Linked DNA regions of Saccharomyces cerevisiae S288C. The protein of the gene in region 3 purifies or fractionates together with the protein of the main gene of each other region. This does not show direct contact. Each region holds a gene or a part of one and is shown on either strand. Other genes may lie near its edges.

The links.
Region 1: the proteins of URB1 (region 3) and NOP4 purify together in Saccharomyces cerevisiae (affinity purification with mass spectrometry; 3 studies listed by BioGRID). This does not show direct contact.
Region 2: the proteins of URB1 (region 3) and MAK5 purify together in Saccharomyces cerevisiae (affinity purification with mass spectrometry; 4 studies listed by BioGRID). This does not show direct contact.
Region 4: the proteins of URB1 (region 3) and MAK21 purify together in Saccharomyces cerevisiae (affinity purification with mass spectrometry; 3 studies listed by BioGRID, with this or other methods). This does not show direct contact.

What each region holds. Positions count from the first base shown.
Region 1 is NC_001148.4:468,149-472,544, reverse strand, and holds NOP4 (mRNA-binding ribosome biosynthesis protein NOP4), read right to left. Parts: upstream 2,607-4,396; coding exon 549-2,606; downstream 1-548. Other genes in the region: tethering complex subunit VPS16, read right to left, coding at 2,889-4,396. UniProt on the Saccharomyces cerevisiae protein: Required for 60S ribosomal subunit synthesis. Probably involved in the processing of 27S rRNA to produce mature 25S rRNA.
Region 2 is NC_001134.8:526,589-531,177, reverse strand, and holds MAK5 (ATP-dependent RNA helicase), read right to left. Parts: upstream 2,862-4,589; coding exon 540-2,861; downstream 1-539. Other genes in the region: SUP45 (translation termination factor eRF1), read left to right, coding at 1-309; BMT2 (25S rRNA (adenine2142-N1)-methyltransferase), read left to right, coding at 3,140-4,153; GTPase-activating protein IRA1, read left to right, coding at 4,550-4,589. UniProt on the Saccharomyces cerevisiae protein: ATP-binding RNA helicase involved in the biogenesis of 60S ribosomal subunits and is required for the normal formation of 25S and 5.8S rRNAs. Required for the maintenance of dsRNA killer plasmid.
Region 3 is NC_001143.9:411,095-418,756, reverse strand, and holds URB1 (Urb1p), read left to right. Parts: upstream 1-1,843; coding exon 1,844-7,138; downstream 7,139-7,662. Other genes in the region: snoRNA-splicing protein PRP40, read right to left, coding at 1-447; ARC19 (Arc19p), read left to right, coding at 734-1,249; PUT3 (Put3p), read right to left, coding at 7,274-7,662. UniProt on the Saccharomyces cerevisiae protein: Required for 60S ribosomal subunit formation and pre-rRNA processing. Required for normal accumulation of 25S and 5.8S rRNAs.
Region 4 is NC_001136.10:568,666-574,251, reverse strand, and holds MAK21 (RNA-binding ribosome biosynthesis protein MAK21), read right to left. Parts: upstream 3,604-5,586; coding exon 526-3,603; downstream 1-525. Other genes in the region: YDR061W (uncharacterized protein), read right to left, coding at 1-88; E2 ubiquitin-conjugating protein UBC5, read left to right, coding at 4,482-4,528, 4,619-5,018; TGL2 (triglyceride lipase), read left to right, coding at 5,549-5,586.

The DNA.
Region 1 (4,396 bases), on a different chromosome or scaffold from region 3:
GTTCATCCCGTTCAAAGTCTAAACTACGTATAAAGTAGAGTTATCATCGGTTAACAAAGTACATTGTGTAGTATGTAGAAGGGCTGAAACCATCAAGAAAAGGAGGGACACGCTCATACAAAGGAGAAGTCATGAATTCTAAATGTATCTAATAAGATACGTGAATTCAGCATCACCTAGTTATTAATGACCAGCCGAACCTAAAAGTCATTGCACAAACAATGTAGAAACATAGCTAATTTTACATACTTTTATTTGCGGTCTACTTATAACCATTATGTATATCATGGGAAATAAATAATTCTCGTCTTGCCTATTACTTCAAACGGAACGTCTAGGAGCGATACTGGTAATAAGGTTTCAGTATGATTTACTGAGATGCTGGACAGTATATGTAGAGAGTTTCTCGCGCTTCTCGTAAAACAGTACTAAAATAACGACATAAAAGCTTTCGAGTACGTTAGAGATTCATCTATCTACTCTTTGAAAAATAATGTACATACGTAAAGAGAATACAAATCGAAATTCCTATAAATATGGTTCTACCTCTATTTTTTTGCGTGCTTTCTCTTACGCTTGAACCCGATTATTCTCTTTATATCATCGCCCATCTTTTTGTCATCGGGATTGGTGGGCGTCGTTGCTTCTTCTTTTTTTGGCTTCTTATTCTCGGATTCTCCGACATCTCCAGTATCTTCATTATCTGGTCTTGTTCTCTTGGTTCTTGCTTGCTTCAATTGTTCCCTTCTTCTCTTTACGACGTTAGAGTTCTCAATCGCAAATTCAACACAAAGACGTCTTCCTTTGCCTAAGTCATTGTCTACTTGTTTCTTTTCATCATCATTCAAACCCTCTAAAATTTCATCGGAGGTAACGGCATGACAATTCAACCACCTTAAGCCCATCAAAGCGTTTTTATGATCTCTGAATTCTACAAAACCGTAACCTCTACTTCTTCCCGCAGTTGATCCTTTAACTTCCATTATAACTTTTGCTTGCTTGACAACACCACTTTTTTTGTCTTTCTTTTTTTGAGCTTCAATCTCATCTGGACCCATGAACTTGTATTTTTCCTTTGTAGATCTGATAATCTCTTCTTTACTCAATGGATGTCTTTCCTTATTTTTAACTTCTGTAGCAAATTCCACGACAGCTTTACGAGCTAACGCCTTTAATGCTTTATCATTCATTGCTCTAGGAAGATTTCTGATAGCCAACCTAGTCATCGACAAATGCAAAGATGGGTTCTTTTTCAGTTGCTCCACTCTTAATTTGTAAGATTTTTCTCTGATCTCCATGTCAGTGTTGGTTAACAAATCAGCCATTTTTGAGCCTTCAACAACTCTACCTTCATTCAGCAAATATAAGTTACGTCTATCTTTTTCGCCTGGCGCTTTACCTAGGGCCTCCTTTCTTTTGGCGGCGTTCTTTTCTGCCATTCTTCCAGCATCCTCTCTTACTAACGTTGGAGTAATGGACAGAACACGACCTTCATACACATACTCAGGCATGACATCATCACCTATCAATAAAGAGGTAGAGCCAGCCGCAGGCGCATTTTTGATACACTCGTTATATGTATATTGGTCTTTGAAGGCTACAAAGGCCGTACCTTTAGCCAACCCCGTAGACTTATCGATAACAGGTAATGCGTATTTAACGCTGCCAAATTTACTGAAGTGCGGAGCCAAAGATTCTTCAGTGGCATCATAAGGGACGTTACGAACAAAAACAGAAAAATCTTCCCTTTTGTTTTGTGCTTTACGTTTCGATTCTTTGTTTTTTGAAGCTTGATCTACTTGTCTATCTTCCTCTTCATTTTCATCTTCTTCGTCGTCATGGTTTTCTTCAGCATCTTCATTTCCTGACTCGTTATCATCTTTGTCATTCATTTCTGGCTGGGCTTTTTTGTAATCTTCCCATCTGTTTTTTTGAACAGCAAAATCAACAGCCACCTTTCTACCATCAATTTTCAAGTCTTTGGTGTTTTCCAAAGCAATTCTACAATTACTGATTTTCTTCATAGTAACAAACGCAAATCCACACAATTTACCATCACGCTTCCTTGGAATGGTAGCCTCCACGACGGTACCATATCTACCAAAGATCTTTTTCAATTTAACTGGATCACGACAACTCCATGGCATATTTCTGATAATTAATTTCGGTTTACCTTTTAGCATGGAGTCTTCACCATCAGCATCGTCCTCATCTTCATTGTTCTGGCCCGTTATTTTCTCAGATGACTCAGGTGTGCTCTTTTCAACCACTTCTGATGTTTTCTTTGAACGATCTCTTCTTTTAGCAATGTCTACCCTCAAGATATGTCCGTTAAATTTGGTCTTTCTGGCCTTAGCTAGGGCTTCTTTTGTGTCATCCTCTACAGCAAAACTAACGAACCCGAAGCCCCTGGACCTTTTATTCGTGTCCTTAACAACTACCGCATGCTTGATCGGAGCAAAATTGGAAAAGAAATCTGCCAGCTGCTCATCTGTGACATCCTGGGGTATAGACCTCACAAACAAAGTCTTCATATCTAGGCCGTCGTCATTTTGTTTTGAGACATTACTAGAAGGCACTTCAACATTTTCTATTGTTTCTTCCATCTCACTTTGGTAGATTGGTAATATTGATAGCTTTTCACTAGTTCACGAAGAAATCTCACTATTTTACTAATAAAAAGATTTTGTATGTAGTATTTAATTCAGAATAAACGATGAGATGAGATAGACTCTTGAAATTTTTCAGTGAAAATTATTTTTTTTTTCCTTCGCCGTTCCATGGGTAACCCTATAGGGAGCCAACATATATAACCGCACAAACGTAATGGCAGCATTTAATTATTTGATATGCGGCTAGATATCCACAACGTCTATAAATTATGAGTTCTATATCCTGCTCATAGTTTCATTTGCTAATGCCTTTAATTCCGGCTCATTAGGTGGTATAATATTATATATCTCCTTTAAGCCTGGAATGTCTTTTTCCTTTCCTGCTAGTTGAATTGCATCACGAAAACCCCTGCACTCCACATAAAGCTTTTTCTTTTCCTGATACGAAAGGCCAGGTATCATATTAACATAAGGACTAGCTTTATCCATATGGCCTCTGCTTTTTAAGTATGTGTAGAAAGGCATGTAACCAATTGGTGATTTCCGCGACTGAGCAAACTGTAGTAGTTCGTCAAACTTCTTAGCTTCGACTAACGTTTTACATTTCAGGTGATACAGCTTTTTTTCGCTTATTTTGAACTTTTTAACTATTTCTTTCACCTGTTTATCTTGCCCTGTTTCTATTAACTTCGAAAGCGTTTGATCTAAAGTCATATTAGTGAATGATATAGCAAATCTTTTGCCTAATGATTCTTGGTATATCCACAACTTTTCCTGTCTTTGAAGTTGTTCTATTGTATTGTTGACCACTTCACTGTTTTGAACTTGGCTATAAAGGTCCTTAATTTGCGGTAAAAAGCTGTGTAAAGATTGCTGTTCTTTTCCCTGCTGCAGTAATACGTGAGCCAAGTCAATAAATCGGTCAGTTTGGCGGTAAAAATCGTACAAGTATGCTTTATCCATTCTCATATAATAGAGATATAAGGGATTGTTGAACATATCAATGATCAAAAGCTTCGTCAGTTGAGAGTTTGTCAGCTTTTTGGAAAGTGCAATCAGTAATGAAATTGTCAGACTGTAATTTTGTACTTTGATACACTCCTTTAGCGCTATACTATCATCATCAAGATTATACAGTTGCTCAATTCTAGCTTCTTCGTTTTTCTCTAATAAAGCTAAATTACGGGATAACTGGAACCTTCCTTCAAGATATGCAACTTTCGCAACTGCTACCATTTGTAATGTATCCGTCATATCTATAACACTTAGTCGAGATTTGATTTTGTCTAGTAACTCATCATCTTCCATGTCAGGACTACCCTTGATTTTATCCTTTGCCCACTCAGTAAACACGTATCCTAACAGAAATCGTTCATTGGCCAATTTGCATATCTGTATGCACTCATAATATCTGTGATACTTCAACAGCCTATCAATGACACCTTTCAAAGAAATACACCTGTATTCCTCCACAGTCAAAAAAATACCAAAACTTCTGAAGCAGTTTAATAATTTTATCGTATTACACGCATTCACAAATATACTAGCGTCAAATGACTTGTACTGCAAAGAAGCTTTTCCATAAGATGCAGCGTTCAACAACATCTTCTGTAGTTTAGGTTCAAATTCGTCTATTGCAGCAGCAATACAGTCCAGTACACCCTTCTCTAAGACAAAATTCTTTAATATTTCAATTGCTTTGGGTGCATGATCCTCCAGTAAACTAAATGAGTCAACAAGCATTGCACCAGGCTCGGTTGAGCCAATTCTAAATATATTAGAAG
Region 2 (4,589 bases), on a different chromosome or scaffold from region 3:
AATGAGGTTATAAAATTCGCTGAACCAGAAGCCAAGGACAAGTCGTTTGCTATTGACAAAGCTACCGGCCAAGAAATGGACGTTGTCTCCGAAGAACCTTTAATTGAATGGCTAGCAGCTAACTACAAAAACTTCGGTGCTACCTTGGAATTCATCACAGACAAATCTTCAGAAGGTGCCCAATTTGTCACAGGTTTTGGTGGTATTGGTGCCATGCTGCGTTACAAAGTTAATTTTGAACAACTAGTTGATGAATCTGAGGATGAATATTATGACGAAGATGAAGGATCCGACTATGATTTCATTTAAATAAATAAAAGGGGGAGAAAAAAATCGAATCAAAAAGAATTTAATCACTAGATGCCAGATTTAAATTAAATTCGCTTTTAATTTTTTGTACAATATAATATATACTTGGTAAACCTTTTGCTCTATATTGAGCTAATTCCTTTGTTGAAAGTACATAGTGGGTTTAGAGGACCGTGTATATTACGTAGAAAATACAGTGAAAGGAGAGTTTCTCTTCAAAAGCCTCGAGATTAATTATTTCTCTTTTTCTTTTTCTTCAAAGTTTCTAAGGCGTTTGTCTTTTCATGACCAATGATAGAATTATGACCTCTTTTTTTGACCAAGTTATCAGCTAAATTCACTAGCCCACCTGTCAAATATTTCTGTCTTCTATCTTTACGTATAGGCACTGATAACAATTCGTTCAACGTAGCTCTCATGGCTTTTACCTTGTCCTTATTTATAGTCTTCTGCATTTTTTTATTTTTATTTTTTAGTAAGAAAGTGTCCGAATTACTCTTTGATATATCGTCTTCGTCGGAATCAACGTCAATACCTAATTCATCAGCAGCCTTTTTTAACCAATTGTCATCTTTTCTTAGGGAATTAGAAGCAATTTCATGATCAGCCAGTTCGCCTGCTAATCTACTTCTTTCTCTGAGTTGTGAAAGTATATCGGTTTCAATTGGTAACAAAGGCACAGTGTTTTGCCACTTGATGGGTTTTCTGTTAGTTGATCTAGAGTTCAAATCCGTCGAAACACTATTTTTTGTAGCGAGAGTTTTTCTTAACTTTCTTAATGGGCCCATAGATTCTTGAGGTGAGCATATCATGGCAGAGACACCTTCAGAACCTGCTCTTGCAGTTCTGCCTGATCTATGAATATAAATATCAGTAGATCTTGGTAAGTGGTAATGAATAACGTGTTGAACACCCGGAATATCTAAACCTCTAGCAGCAACATCACTTGCAATCAATACTGTTGAGAGTTGAACGGAATCCGGATTCGAATGATTTATTGTTTTCTGTTTAGCGCTTTGTTGCTTGAACCTTTCTAAGCTTTTCAAACGGTTCTTTTGTGTCATGGAAGAATGAATTTGAAAAGCTGGGATGCCTAGGTTATTTAAGTATACGGTCAATTTCTTCACGGAGTCAATGGCATTACAAAAGATCAAAGTTGTACCTGGGAACATGGTTAAAAAGTAATAGCAGTATAGGTCACGTTCTAATGGAGGACATTCAATTAAGGATTCTTTGATTTGAGAGCTCACTTTTGACTCAGGATTTGTATCTATTATAACCGGCTTTGAGTTGAAGTGAATTTTGCTCATTAAGTGTTGTATTACGGCATTTAGCTCATCTTCGTTGTTTTTAAACCTTCTATCCTTAACTTGACGGGAAGAAGATAGCTTATCAAACAAGTCGATGGAGAATGTTGCAGAAAAGATCAAAGTTTGCCAAATTTTGCTACTGCCCTCGGAGTTTTCTCTGTTTTTCCTTCTTTCTACTAATAAATGTTTAATGATTTTTTCGAACTCGTCGAAATGACCGTCTTGTAACAGCCTATCAGCCTCATCAAGGATTAGCGTATTTACTTTCGAGAATCTTTTGATTAAAGTGTTGTCTTTTTCCAACAGTTCCAAAAATCTACCTGGTGTTGCGATGACAATTTGGCCACTATTATCGTACTTTAATAGACGTTGTTGTTTTTGGATAGAGAGTCCACCTGTCAAAGATAATATCGAGTACTGAGATTTCGCTAGAACAGGCTCACAGATCTTTTTTAAGTGGTCTGTGACTTGATGCGCCAGTTCTCTTGTAGGAGTAAAGATTAACGATATTGGTTTCTTGTTTTTCTGAGAGAAGTTACTGATCAGTTTCTCTACAATTGGAATACCATAGGCTAAAGTTTTACCTGAACCTGTAGAGGCTTTCCCCATGACGTCTACGCCTTGCATAATAACTGGAATAGACTTTTTTTGAATTTCTGTAGGTCTGAGAAAATTTAAATTCTGCAAGCTCTGCAAAATAGTCATTGAGAGAGGTGCAAGATTCGTCCATTCAGGTAAATTTACAGGAGAAATATCATCGATATTAATGTCTTTGTTAAAGACGTTTTCTTTCAAAACATCCTCATCCACATCCTCATCCACATCCTCACTGGGATCGGTTAACTTTGAACTCTCAATATTACCTTGCTCATCCTCGTCGGATGATGAATAAGATGCTGCACTCAACTCTCCTTCTTTAATATCGTCCAAGTTCTTGAATTCAAGGAGCTCGGACTCCGAATCTGACCCTGATTCATTTTCCACAGATTCCTGATCATCTCCGACTTTTTCCTTATTGCTATCTTTTAACACTTTTGAATCTTTTTTGGTGACGAAAGTTACTTTACCATCCACGACTTTAACGTCCACTCCGTCAATTTCTTCCAAGCCATAAAATCCACCAAAGTCATCTAAAGTGTCCGGAATATCTACTGGTTTCCAGTTCAATTTGGATTCATCTACAATTATCTCCTGTGGCTTTGTGACCGTTTTTCCTTTTTGAGGAGCCCTTTTCTTACCCATGATGGAAAAACTGATTATGCCGGTATTTGACTAAAGAATTTCTACCTGAGGTTATGATGATAATGATGGGCAGGTTGGCGAATATAACTTTTTTAGATGGAAATTCTTATAAGCTCATCGCTGGAAAAGTTTTTCAGAGAAAAAGAAAAGTACGGACTAACTAACCTTGAGGCGGGTTTGTGAGGTGAAAAAAAATATAACAATTATAATATCGATGAGCTAGCCATGACCTTGATGGCAATCTTGTATCAGCTTAGCGATACCACTAATACAGCGGAATGCATTCAAGAAAGTCGAAGAGTATTACGGGCAAGAGGAAGCAAGTAGGAAGTAACGTGACGAGAGTAATCAAGCCACAGAAGACAAGAAGGATAATAAGAAGATTCCACCATTTAATTAATAAGCGTCAATCGATATGCAAGTTTTTATGCCTTAAGGAAAACCTAGATGATTCCAACGAGGAGAAGAATGACAAAATTATCAGGTTAAGTATTAAAGGTAATGTAAGACTGGGCAAGTACTATGAAGACGGCAAATCGCAGTCCTTCAATGATGCTATGGAATCACAACTACTGAGGCTGCACTCATTAATTAAAAATGAATCCAAATCAAAGGATACTTCTGACTTGGCTGTGATGTACACATTACTTGGTTACATAATGAATCAGATTAATAAATTGGGAGGACTAGAAACTTACCAAATTGCCAGTCAAAACGGGCAATTGAAGGAACGAGGAGGAGACACGTCCAAGTTGCTCGAGAAATGGATCAGGTCCTCATTTGAAAATTGTCCTGGAGCAGTGGCATTAGAAATTGGTTCATTGAGCTCCGGAAATCGCATATCCCGTTGTGCACTTTTTAGAAATGTGGTTCGTATAGATTTAGAGGAACATGAAGGCGTTATTAAGCAGGATTTTATGGAAAGACCGCTACCGAGAAATGAAAACGACAAATTCGACCTGATATCATGCTCTCTAGTGCTAAATTTTGTCAAAAATCACAGGGATCGCGGTGCAATGTGCCATCGCATGGTCAAATTTCTCAAGCCGCAAGGCTACATCTTTATTGTTCTGCCACAAGCCTGTGTGACGCACTCAAGATACTGCGACAAAACACTGTTACAAAACCTCCTCGGCTCTATCGGGCTCATAATGCTTAATAGCCATCAAAGTAATAAGTTGTACTATTGTTTGTATCAATTGCAGGTAGTTCCACCGCAGCCGAGTAGCTTTTCCAAAAGAATCAAGGTTAACGACGGCCCTGGGTTGAACAATTTTGGTATTACCCTCTAAGCGAGCCGACACCGCCTGGAAGTTTTTCATAAAGGGATACAATATAGAAAGATGTGTAAAAACGTTAAGTAAAAGATGAGCAAATGAACAGTGTTCGAAGGAGAATAACAAGAGTTACTGCTCATATAAAACTAATATACTAAAGGTTTTCGCTTTGTATTACGATTGAAACAATTAACTGTTTTTTTTTTTTCCGCTTATTACACAGTACCGGTTTCATTTACGCCTTTGATCATTTTATTGGCATTGGGCTCATAGTAGTTTTCAGCGCGTGGTTAAGCTATTTAACGAAAGCGTATAAAGTCAAGTGATCATCTTTTGCCCTGCAAATAGAGCTTCAAACTTAACATTCTTCTTCAGCATATAACATACAACAAGATTAAGGCTCTTTCTAAAATGAATCAAAGCGATCCGCAAGACAAAAAAAATTTCCCAA
Region 3 (7,662 bases):
GTCTACTTGATTTTCCTTCAGCATGGTAATAAATTCCTTCTCTGCTTCTTCTTTAGTCCTTCTCCTGACATTAAGCAGTTTAGAGTTATTAGCATATTGGCTTTCCTCCTCGTTTATAGTTCGTCCCGGCTCTTGTTTTTCTCCAGCCGTAAGGGCTATTCTATTTCCATTAACCTGTGCATGGGATACTGTATCATGTTTTTGTTCTGCGATGGGTTCTACTTTCTTCTCGAAGGCCGGAATAGTCCAGCTGGTTTCTCTTGTTGTTGGATTATAATAGTATACTTTGCCGTCTGCCGTCTTGGCCGCCTTCCAGCCATTTTCTCGAAGAAGTAGCTCCTCCTGAGAAATTAGTTCCTTGGGCTTCTCCCACGTAGATTTCTTTGTCAAAGTATTGTAATAATATATCCTTCCACTTGCATCTTTAGCTTCCTTCCAAATAGACATAGTTTCACGTCTCCCACCTCCGGCAATGCTTGTCTAGTGGTCGATCTGGCTTCAGACCTTGTTATCCTGATAGGTAGGCACGCTATTGCGATGTCATCAACTGCCAGATTTCCAAGTACATTATTATTGTCGATAATTTCATATCGTTTACCACGTCGCCCCTTTTGTATAGCAAAATACAATTATAGAACAAAAAAAGCCTGTAAAGCCAAGCAAATAGAGGCTTTCGGAACAACTCGGTGTCACTTTGACAAAAGATAAAAGAGGAAGCAACTGATAGTAGGAAATGTCACAATCATTACGTCCGTATCTAACGGCTGTTCGTTATTCCCTGGAAGCTGCGTTGACTTTGAGCAATTTCTCTTCGCAGGAAGTGGAGAGGCACAACAGACCGGAAGTTGAAGTCCCTAACACTAGCGCCGAATTGTTGCTCCAACCGATGCATATATCTCGTAATGAAAATGAACAAGTATTGATTGAGCCCAGTGTAAACTCGGTGCGTATGAGTTTAATGGTGAAACAGGCAGATGAAATTGAGCAGATTTTAGTTCACAAGTTTACTAGATTTTTGGAACAGCGTGCTGAAGCATTCTACATTCTGAGACGTGTACCAATACCTGGCTACAGTATTTCTTTTCTAATAACTAATAAGCATACTGAATCAATGAAAACTGGGAAATTGGTTGATTTTATTATTGAATTCATGGAGGACGTGGATAAGGAAATCAGTGAAATTAAACTGTTTTTGAATGCCAGAGCAAGATTTGTTGCGGAAGCATATCTTGATGAATTTGTCTATTAGATTCCTAATATAGGAAAGGGAATCTTTCTCCGTCAGGGCCCTATTGACGGAAAACTTTACGATCTGTACTGACTGTGTTAGTTTGCGTACTCAATTGAACTATTTCGAGACTATTTAGTTAGATACAATAACATGTGTATGTGAATTAATTATAAACGTACTTTTAAATTGCAGTTACTTTGTATAATTATGGTGATTTTTTTAGTACTTAAATTATATTCATAAAAAGGGATTAAAATGTTTCTCCCGACACCTAAAATTAAACTTCAATCTGTCAATTCTAACACAAAACGTTTTCATTTTACGTAAACAAATGAAGATTGAAGATTCTAAAGCATTTATTATTACTGCCGCACTAGTATACGACCAAACTAAAATTATATGATAATAGTGCACCAACATATAGTAAACAGCTTTTACCTATGCACGACTTGCATGAGGATTTCAATATTATATCACTGTAGACGAAATATGAAAAATTTCAGCAATAAAGCTCATCGCAAAGAATAGTTCGGTTATATTCTTGATTGGATATTATTTCTCTAATCTATGCGGTACTACTTCATCTAACAGAACTAGAGGAGCACTTACATAATGAGTAATCATAGCGAAGCCTATGGATCTCGCGACCAGAGAAGGGAGAAGTACACCCAAGGGAAAGAGTTCGAAGACGGTACATTAGAAACACTAGAAAGTATAATCAGTGCAGTCGAAGATGAAACTCTCTCCAAAGATTACCAACCTCTAATAGTGTTCTTCCAAAGAGGATTTGGTGCTCAATTGGTACAGACTTGGTCATATTATGCTCAAGTAAATAACCATGGGAAATTCTCGAAAACTACCTCATTACTGACTAAAACCTTACGAGTTTTGTCATCTGATACTAGTACAGTGACTATTGGGAGCGGTCTAATTAGATTGATATTGACCGATTACACAAAAGTTCTCTATAGAGGGTTGAACAATATGCGTGCGCAATTAACTAATCCAATTCTTCGTCTACTCAAACAAATAGTCAATTTCAACAATGGGCAACATATAGAGGAATTAGTTTCATATTTCGATTTTTCATTACCTATTTTACCAAGACTGTTGGTACCAAGCAAGTCTGAGTTAGCCAATGGGAATTCATCTGCTGATTCATCCAAACATGACTCATTAAGATTTACATTTATCAAGTTTTGGTTGACATTGATCTCAAATGCTTCCCCATTCGTGAGAAAAGAACTTTTGACAGAAAACTTTAAGATTATGAGCAACCTATTTAAATTCATGAATAAGGCTGATTCTGACAAGTTATCTGAGCACATACTATCGGTATTCATAAACGACATTTTAAAGGAGAAATCCTTCAAGAGAACTACTAAAACCAAAATTTTAAATGAACTAGCGGCTTCAAAGATTCATCACTTTTATTATTCATCAAACAAGAATTTGGTTAAGAAGGCAAATGAGTTTTTCTTAACTTTTGGAGCTTCCCGTGACTTTAGCGTAGCATTTCCTGATAATTGCGTTTGGTTCAAAAATTCAGTTGCTGATGGAGCTTCTCATGGAGCTCCGATAACCGTCAACCAAGTGGAATTTCAAATTCATAATAAACTTTTGTTCAACACTTTACGCCTTTTCAAACCTTGGGAAGATACGCTGCAATTAGGTACGTTGATCAAAATATTGGAGAACGTTCCCGAACTTGTTGCTCCTTACAGCATCTTTTTAACGACGAATGGTAACTATGACCCTAAGATGACTTCGTATTGGTTTGGTATAACGTTACTGATTAACAAGATTATTAATCTTAAGATACCGCAATTTATGGAGAAAGTTGATAGCAATATTCCACCTGCCACTTCATTAGTTATAGAAAACATTCTGCCATCTTTGCTCACCAAATCCTCGTTGGTTAAATCCCTACAATTTGAAACACCCATCATAAGACAATTAGCCTGTCAATCAATAGTTCTAGCGTTAAAAAAATTAGAAAAAGTTTCCACATTTTATGATCAAAAAGGCTGGAGAAATGAAAAAACTATTTTACTCAACGAGTTTCATACTAGAATTCCTGATTTACCAATCTTCGTATCTACTTTGAGCAATTCTTTGGCTTCCAATAAGGATAATAGAATTTTACCTCTGTCCATATCCATCATATTCAACTACTATAGTAAAATGTTCCCCAACCTCTTCTCAATTAACCTACCATCATCAAATATTTACACAGATATCATGCAAAAATCCAAGATTTCTGGCATAGAATTTGCTATTCTGGACAACTACTTACAATTTCAAGAATTTAACTCTACTCAAACCAGGTGGTGGAATCCAAGTTCTGGTGGAAATTCTTTATTCACCCTACTATTAAAGCTAGCATCCTCCAAAAATGCTTCTAACGTGATAACTACAAGAATATCCAACTTGCTCGATGAGCTGACGAGAACAAACGTTATCTTCAACATATCTTTAATTTCACCAGTGATGGCTTTAGTGAATAGTCTTCAAGGGCTTTCCCTTCAAGTTTCTGAAATTGACAACATGGAACAAGTCTGGAAGTGGTTTGACGAAACTATATCTCGTGTCGTAAAAACACCATACAAGTACGTCGATATGGCAAAAGAGTATAACTACATTTCTCCCTTCATAATGTGCCTTTCAGAGCAATGGAAATACGTTGACAAGAGTGGAAACCCAGAGTTTTTAATTAAATGGCTTATACTTTTTCTTAGAAACATGATTTTCATTGGTGAAGACCATATAGGCATAGATAAACTTGTTAAAAATGTCTTTCCTGAGGTCTCTGATCATGATGTTAATATATACTTGAAACTTGACTCATTTGAAGAAAACATAAAGAAAACTAATAGCTCTAATTCTTTAATTTCTTCAATGAAGAGCTCATCTTTTTTCCAGTATATTTCGGCGCTTCCATCTAAAAATCTAATGAATATTTCTAGATTACCAGTGAACAAATTAGATGCGGCAGGAATCCTTTTTAGAGTTCAGTTATTGGTAGAAGACGATTCTGTTGTATATGACAATTGGTTCGAAGCAACTGCCTGTGAGTTAACTGGCAAGATTGCTAGCTACATGGTAACAGACACAGAATTCCCAATTATCAAAGTTTTGGAAAGGTATATAAATTTCGCTTTACCAAAACTGGCCATTGAAAAAAGAAATGCTCTACTCATGAAAAAATCAAGGTTCATGTGCAATTTAATCGGTGCAGTATGCTTTGAAACAGGCCATCAATTAGTGGAATTCCGAGAAATAATTCAAAAAGTCGTGTTTAGTGGTGAAAATGTCGAAGAGTATGCCAACTATAATGAGTTGTATCAGAAAGAAGATGTAAATGCTTTCTTAACAAGTGTTAGTGAGTATTTAAGTACTTCAGCTTTAACTTCGCTACTCATGTGTAGCACCAAACTAGAGTCCACAAGAAACATTCTCCAAAAATTATTCAACGAAGGAAAAACTATAAAAATATCCCTTGTAAAGAATATACTGAACAAAGCTGCAAATGAAGATCCTGCTTCAATTAAGGAAGTAAACATCTCTTTGGCTAAATTTTTTGAAGAAAACAAAGTTTGTGTTGATGCTTCATCTGATCCTATGGGTAAGCTATCCCTTTCAGAAACTACTTCTCTGATAAATAGTTTTGTGTCTAGTGATTTGAATTATCTAGTACTGAAAGCTTTTTACAGATGGGAACATTTTTCTTTCCCATCTTTCATACCAAGTATCTGGAGGATCAAGGATTCACCTTTACTAAGTATTGTAACAACGGCTGCTTTGTTCAAGCACATGCAGGATAAAGATTTTAGCGCATTTGCGCATGAAACCATTTCCAAGTATGGTAATGAAATTGCGAAAAGTACTTACACTACCTCGAAAAGTGAGATTTTTGACGAAATATTAAATATGATTACCACTTATATTGATTTCTATGACGAAACGAAACGAAATGAAATTTTGAAATGTGTTTTATCACAGAGCGACCATAAATATCATGCTGCTACAGTAAGATACATAGCTGCACACAATAATTTTACTTATCCAGGGGTAGAAACATGGTTACATAAAACTCTTCTTTACCTTACAAAGTACCTTTCAGAAAGAAAAGTTATCTCCAATTCTTTTTTTGAGTTACTAAGAGCGATGGCTGAGCTCTTAAAACTTGAAGAGGTACCAAATAAGTTGAATGTCAAAATCATTAATTCTCAATTAGAGGCTATTCTAGGCAGTGAGTGGATCAAACAAATTAAGGTTCTTGAATACGTTATTGTATTAATTTTTTGTGTGAGCAAAAAGTCAATTCAATCGCAAAGAATGGTTCAACTTTTATTAAGCAATGACAGTTACTCATCAATAATGATTAAAGACAATGATGAAGATTCATCGTATCGAAAGTTCTTAAGCACAATGATATTATTCTCTTTATTCAGCATCGACCCGGTCGTAAATTCGACGCCAATAGTTCAAGAGAAATTATTGACTTTTTACTCCGGTACTATTTCCAGTAACGACAAGTTGATACTGAAAATTCTAGAAACTATCGAATCTCACACCGCTACTTCATGGACAAACATGATTTTTTCTTGGGAATTTATCAAAGACGAAGAGGAAGAAATCTTGGAAGCCATTGGAGACACGAGGCTGATTACCAAAGAAAGGGAGGGGTTGATACTAACACTACAAAAAAACATGATCAAAAAGTCCATTGACAGATACGTATTGGAAAGGCCTCAAGTCCCTGAATTATATACCGATTCTAATACAAACAATTATGATGCTACTACAAGGTGTGACCTAGTCAAAAAGTACTACGATGATACCGAACGATCTGGTGTTGATATGTACGATCCATTATTTTTACTGCTATTAATAATCCATAACAAAGAGCTGGTAAAAATGGTCAAAGATGACGAGGGCAATGTAACATACAGATATGAATTTGAAAATTTCCTTGATTGCAAAATATTTCAGTTTATTATTTGCTCATTAAGCGATTGTCATACCGTTGCCAATATAAGTTACGAACATTTATCAAATTTAGCTTCTTCTTTGGAGAAGAAAACTGCCCAGATGAATCTTGAAAAGCAAATAACTAGCAAGGATAATGAAAGAAAAGAATCTGATAGCGATTTAATCAAATATAATAGCATTTACCAAGTGTTGATTAAAAGGATTTTATACCAGAGACAACAAAATCAAGATCCTATCAATCCGTTAATTTGGTTTTCTATCTCTAGAATTGTTGATCTATTGGGAAGTCCAACTGCGCCCTTACATGAGAAGGCATACCGCTGGGTATTATCAAATTCTACCATACGTAGTTGGGACATCCCTATGGTATCTGATGTGATGATGTCCTACAATAAGAGACAACAAGATGACAATAAGAAAGAAATTGATATGGAAATATACTATGGAGAATTGAGTTGGGTTTTAACAACCATTTGTAAGGGAATTAAAACGGATGAAGATTACAAGATGTTAGAGAAGAAAGGTGTATTTGAATGGTTGTTAAACTTGATCAATATGCCATACTTGAAAGAAAGATTACGCGAACTAATCTATTTTATTTTTTACAAAGTCCAAAGGGTAGCAGATGATGGTGGTTTGAATTTAATTAGCAGAAACGGTATTGTGTCGTTTTTCGAGGTTTTGAACAATAACATCAAATCTAGACTACCACAGGACGATATACTGAACAACATTGGTACTTTACGGAACGAAAACAGAGGTACATTAAATACTACTTTGAGGTTAGCCCAAGAACAAAACGGAATTGAAAAACTACTATTAGGCTACAACGAGCTTGTCAAATCACAAAAAAGGCTAATATTATGGACAGAAGGTGATAGCGACAATGTTGTCAAGAGGCTACGTAAATGAGCTGTCTTGTGATAGATATTTTAAATAAGATTTGAAGAATTAAATGTCCACTTTTCTATATAATGTGCGAAATGTATAATATATGCATAAGAAAACAAAGAAATCAGTATTTTCTTCTTTGTCTTTGTAATGGTGTTATGGTCCTAAATAATCAGTAAAGTCAATTTCACTACCAGCAGCTGCAGTTGGATCCATAGTATTTCCCAGCCACATTGCTTGATCAGTGATTTCCTTCCAAAGTTTTTCATCGGAATGATCAATATTGCCTAAATCCTCCAACAATTGTTGTAAATCGTCATCATTTAGATTATGAACGGAATCCAACTGATCCATGTTTTTTTCCATCACCTGAGAGCCCTTTTCAGTTAGCGTGGTTTGGTATGAATTTTCCAAGCTCGCAGTTATGATATCAAAAAAAGTAGAAGGTTCCGAGTTATTGACGTTAATATCATTAACATCATTATTACCATTACTATAATCAGTCAGCGTTGGTTTCGCGCCTTCCGGAAGTATGCTAACAATGT
Region 4 (5,586 bases), on a different chromosome or scaffold from region 3:
TCTTAGGGTAAACAGGTGGACTGTTGCTAGCCAGTGATGACTTGAAGAGCGCATTCGTTATTCGTACAACGAACTTATTGGTACTCATAATTAAAAAATCTTTCACAGAATATTAATCAAGTATTCACAAATTTGTTTTGCTTACTGCAATTAGCTAACAGAAAATTGTCGCTACAAATGTGCCTATATAAACAAAATGGTTAAAAATGAGTTCTGGATTATTTATTTCTAATAGGAGTCACGTGGTTCCATCGTTTTTAGTTTCGTCTCACGATGTCAGCAATCTCGGCGATTTCAACTGACATAGTTGTAGCTAAAATCCGTTTCTATTTCCGCATTACTCTTTTTCCGTTTACTCCCGCTCTAATAATGTTGAAAAGCGGACATAAGTAGAGTTATCAGCAAAACTCTGATATGCGTCTTTCGCTTCAAGGTTTCGTATTGGACCGTTTTTTATTGTACAAAATTCTGTTTTCCTTATTTAATTTACAACACCGAAGTGTTTAGTTAATGTATTATTATTTTCTAGTCTGAATCTTGATCTAAATATTGAGCATAATCGTCGGCAGATGCAAATACCGGTAGACTTTTGAGCATATTCTTTCTCTGCTTCTTCTTTGCTCTTTTTGCGGATACCTCTTTATTTTCTTCTTCTTCTTTTTCTTCTTCGCTGCTCTCGTCCTCTTCACTACTTTCAGCGAAGGAACGTTTTTTATCACTATTGTCTTGTTCTCCATCGAAACTGTAAAAAATATCCTCATCGAGGCCTTCTTCTTGATCGCTTTCTTGGCTGCCTTCACTTTTAGCATCTTCATCATCAATTGCGTCCAGCTTAGGTTCATCGTCACTAGTTGAATCGCTGAAATCATCTTCAGCGAAGTCAAGTTCACTGTCGTCGCTATCATCTTCAACATCTGGTCTCGATTTAACCAAAGCACTCCAAATTTCATTTTCATCCATTTCGTCATCACTATCGAAATTAGATGCTTTGTTAGATTTCTTTCCTTTTCCATCAGCGGTTTTCTTGGTAGTGAAATATTGATAAAAGAATTTATCTTCAGGTTTGATATCTTCAACTTTTTTAGTTAGCCAGTCTTCAGTGTTCACGGGACCCTGGTCATGCATAATATCAGATGCCTTAACTAAGACAGAGTCATTAACTCGTGAGCCACTAAACAGAGGTTGCATAATAGATGTACCTCTTGCTGTATTGGTCTGCTTGGCACTTCTGTAGACAAATCTGTCAAGGAAGTGTGATAGAGTAAATAGACCCAGGTCTGGTTTAGCTATTTGCTCTGTTTCTCCTGTCACATAGGCGTTTGCATATGTTTTCACAGTAGGATGAAAATGATTGATGAAGTTGTTGATTTCCCATAAAGAAGATTTTTCAGCATTGGCGAACTTTGGATCACGCTTGCGGCCGTCGTATTCCTTCCTTTTTATGTCCTTGTCCCCTTGCTCCTCTTCTGCATCAGATTCATACTCGTAATCAACTGGCGTGTTGGTTAGAAGATTTTTTATTTGTGGAACTGTTTTAGCCAACTGGATTAATAAGAAGAAAAAACCAGTAATGGTGCCGACGTTCAACCAATGAGAACAAACTTGAAGAATTCTCTTGACAAAGGCTTCTACTCGTTCAACGTTGAGTGCATCTTGTTTTAATGATTTGTATAGTAAATTCAAGTAAATACCCTGCTTAGAAGAGTTCACCAGTCTGGGGTCAAATAAACTTTCGTATAATGTTCTATAATATCGATCACTGTTCAACTTTGCTTTGACGGTGACTTGATTAATCAAAACTAATGCTTGGATTGAGGTGTTAAAGTTAGAGGAGTGTGTGATTTTGAAAAGAGTTTCCATATGTACTTCATAGACAGACGCTGGAATCTGAGCGAATGGGAATGCACGATTGATACCTGTTAACAAAGCACTGAATAATTTTGAGTTCTTTTCATCTAAAACTTCATTTTCCGTTTTTTCGATTTTTACAGATTTACCACCGTGTTTACCCTTTTTAAAGTTCTTCTTTCTTTTCTCCTCATACGACTTTGAGTTACTCTTAACAACGCCATTGGTATTGTCTTTATCAGTATTAATCAAGAATTTTTCAAACAAAGTGAAGTATGTTTTTACTAATTTATTAGCAACAGAGTCTTCTGATCTTTTTAAGATGGTTTGGTTTAAAGTAATAACAGAATAGTAAGTGGTATGATAATCCGCATTCGGTCTCAATGCGATATCAACGATAGCATCAATGACAATAGATTTCATATTCGGATGAGCTTGTTCCAACTTCAGTAGTAAATATGACGCCTTCGAAGAAACTTTGGAATCAATATCACCAATTTTATTTACACCTAATCTCAATAAATTAAATTCCTGCTCTGGTTGGTTGGTCAATAAATCAAATACATGATTTAATATTTGTAATCTAACGTGAATAATTGGATCGTGGGAAAGCACTTCCAAGACTTCTAAAACACGAAAGAACAGTTTCTTTAAATAATCTTCGAAATAGAAAATTGCAAGAGTTTTCTTGTTTAGCATCATAGATAAGCCAGGTTGATTTTTGAAATACCTCAGCTTTCTGTTGGGCAAAAGACCATTTAAGAATAAATCCTTCAAAGCGTTTAAACTCTGTAAAGCAGAGTTTCTCGATTTTTTGCCACAATATGAAACCAGAGTTTCTAAAGACTTAGTGTTATGCAATGGCGAATCTTGAATGAGTAAAGTTACGGCAGATATTTTATCGTTGAGGGTACCGTCCGATAGGATTTGGGACATGAACTTGGCCTGCGATGAGTCCTTTGTAAACTCCTCATAGTAAGTTTGGTTGTCAGCTTCTAGCGTTTGCTTACCTCTTTCAAAAAGTTTCTCAATCTGTTCCTTGGATAATTCTTCAACATCATCATTTTGTCCAACTTGAGGATCCAATGGAATTTCATACCATGGTTTATCGTAAGGAATAATAAGTTTGTCAGATGAGATAATAGTAGTTTGAGTAATTAAACCTCCATCTTTCTCCTCTTTCTTTTCTTTCTCTGCAGATTCTGATTCTGGCTCTTGGTCTGAACTAAGATTAGCCTCTTCTACTGTGTTTTCTTCTTGTTCACTGCCATTATCGATTGACTCTTGGGAGGTTTTCTCTATTGTCGATGATGCAATGTTTGATTGTGCATGTTCCTTCTCTTGAGCGGGTATTTTAGATTCTTTGGAGCTAGTGGATTCTTCTTCTATATCGTCATCGTCTACATCTTCGAGTTTGTGTTGGTCAAATCCTACATTCTTCATGAAATTTTGAAGATCGTTCTTGAATCCCTTGTCGTCAGCATCCTCGTCAGCGACGGCATCAAATTCCTGTTCGCTCTTAGCGTCATCATCATCGCTTAATCCTTGAATCAATTTTAGATCTTCTTCGCTGGCACCCAATGCTAGTGCTTCACGACGTATGTCCTCATTTACCTTCTTTGAATTACTACTGGCCTTCACGTCCTTGCCTTTGTGGGTTTTCTTCGCCTTTTTGCTGTTATTGTCTCGCAATTTTGACGAAATCTTATTTCTTAGTGAAGACAAATCCAGCGGATTGCCGTTGTTCTCACTCATTATTTTTGATTACTGTACCAACAAAGACACTGGAGAGGTTTAATATCTATAGAAATTTATCAAACTATAGAATTTCGCTTCCGATGTGTACGACATAATGCTTTCTTATTCGCAACTCCATTACTTTGGCATCTCTGATAATTTTTTACCTCATCGCCAAAAGAAAAAATTTTTCATTCTGCAACGGGTAACGGAATACAGAGGCAAGAGAACGGAAGAACATCATATCGGCGGTTATTACTAAACAGTATATGTCCAATCGGTTTTGGAAATGAGATTTTCTTATTAATGATCTGATCTTAGATTATGTTGGGCAATACGCGTTATACAAAAGATCTGCTATTGCATGTGGTGAAAGTTATACCAACATTTTTGCTTATATGAAATCATCTGCAACAACCAATTGGATAAGGATAGATTTCTCAAATATATTAAATTATGTCTTGGTTTACTTACACAGAAAGTCCCAAAGTACAGATGAATTATACTAGGGTTGTGTTCATTGTTCCATGAGAGGCTGTACTTTTTGCCTACTTATTTTGGTACTCATTCATTAGGCTCATAAACCGATTTTTCTTATATTGTGCGTAATTCAATTAGATATCTAGATGTATTGCTAGTGCTAGTACGGTGTAAACTCTCGTAGCAAGCGCTTTTGAAGCATGGCTGTGGTGGAGGTAGTTGCCACTGCGAGCGGGTAATAAAGCGGCTGCCGCCTTACTCATTTGTACCAAAGATAGCCGACCCAAAATTATAAAAAATAATTGTATCCCGGATTTTAATAGATGGTTGGAGTTTTATTTTCCAAGGTCAGGACTGCTTATTGACTACCATCTTGAAAAGTCATTTTCTGCTCACCACCCTCAACTAAACTAAAAATGTCTTCCTCCAAGCGTATTGCCAAGGAATTAAGTGATTTAGGGAGGTATGTTAAAAATAAAATGAATGATTTTTCTTGATCTGTAAAGAAAAAGGATTACTAACATGAGTTTCTTTTTTGAACTTTTTTCCGAAGAGATCCTCCTGCTTCATGTTCAGCAGGACCTGTAGGGGATGACCTGTATCATTGGCAAGCCTCTATTATGGGTCCTTCAGACTCACCCTACGCTGGTGGCGTTTTCTTTTTGTCTATTCACTTTCCAACTGATTATCCATTCAAGCCACCGAAGGTAAACTTTACGACCAAAATTTATCATCCGAATATTAATTCGAGTGGTAATATCTGCCTTGATATTTTAAAGGACCAGTGGTCACCGGCGCTAACCCTTTCAAAAGTTTTGTTGTCTATTTGCTCTCTTTTAACAGATGCTAATCCCGACGATCCTTTGGTCCCTGAAATTGCTCAAATCTACAAGACAGATAAGGCTAAGTATGAAGCCACCGCTAAGGAGTGGACTAAAAAATATGCTGTTTGATTAATTTGGGCTAACGGATAAATTGTGTAGACTTACCTTCCTCAGCGCACACATCAATATATTATATATTCTTTACGTATACAAACACGCAAATTCTTATAGGTATAGCGATATTAGTTTGATCAATTCCCATCACGTACCTTGCTTTCTATTATTTACTCTTTCTCCTGTACCTGCTACTATCAATTAAAAAAAATTCTCCGCGACGGGGAATTGAACCCCGATCTGGCACGCGACAAGCGCCCATTCTGACCATTAAACTATCACGGAAGAAACAAAGCACTCACGATGGGGGTCGAACCCATAATCTTCTGATTAGAAGTCAGACGCGTTGCCATTACGCCACGCGAGCTACTATTTGTCGGAAAAACATTCTGATTCATCTAGCTAAATGATTGTTTAAAATATGCTAAATTTCTCACCAACCTTTTCTCATAATGAGCCTAATATGAACCGCTATTGAAAATATGTACAAGGAAGAATATAGAGAATAAAGCGTCTTGTTTTAAAGGAGGAAAAGCATAAAAAAAATGAAAAATGATAATAAAGCTAATGATATAATAATAGA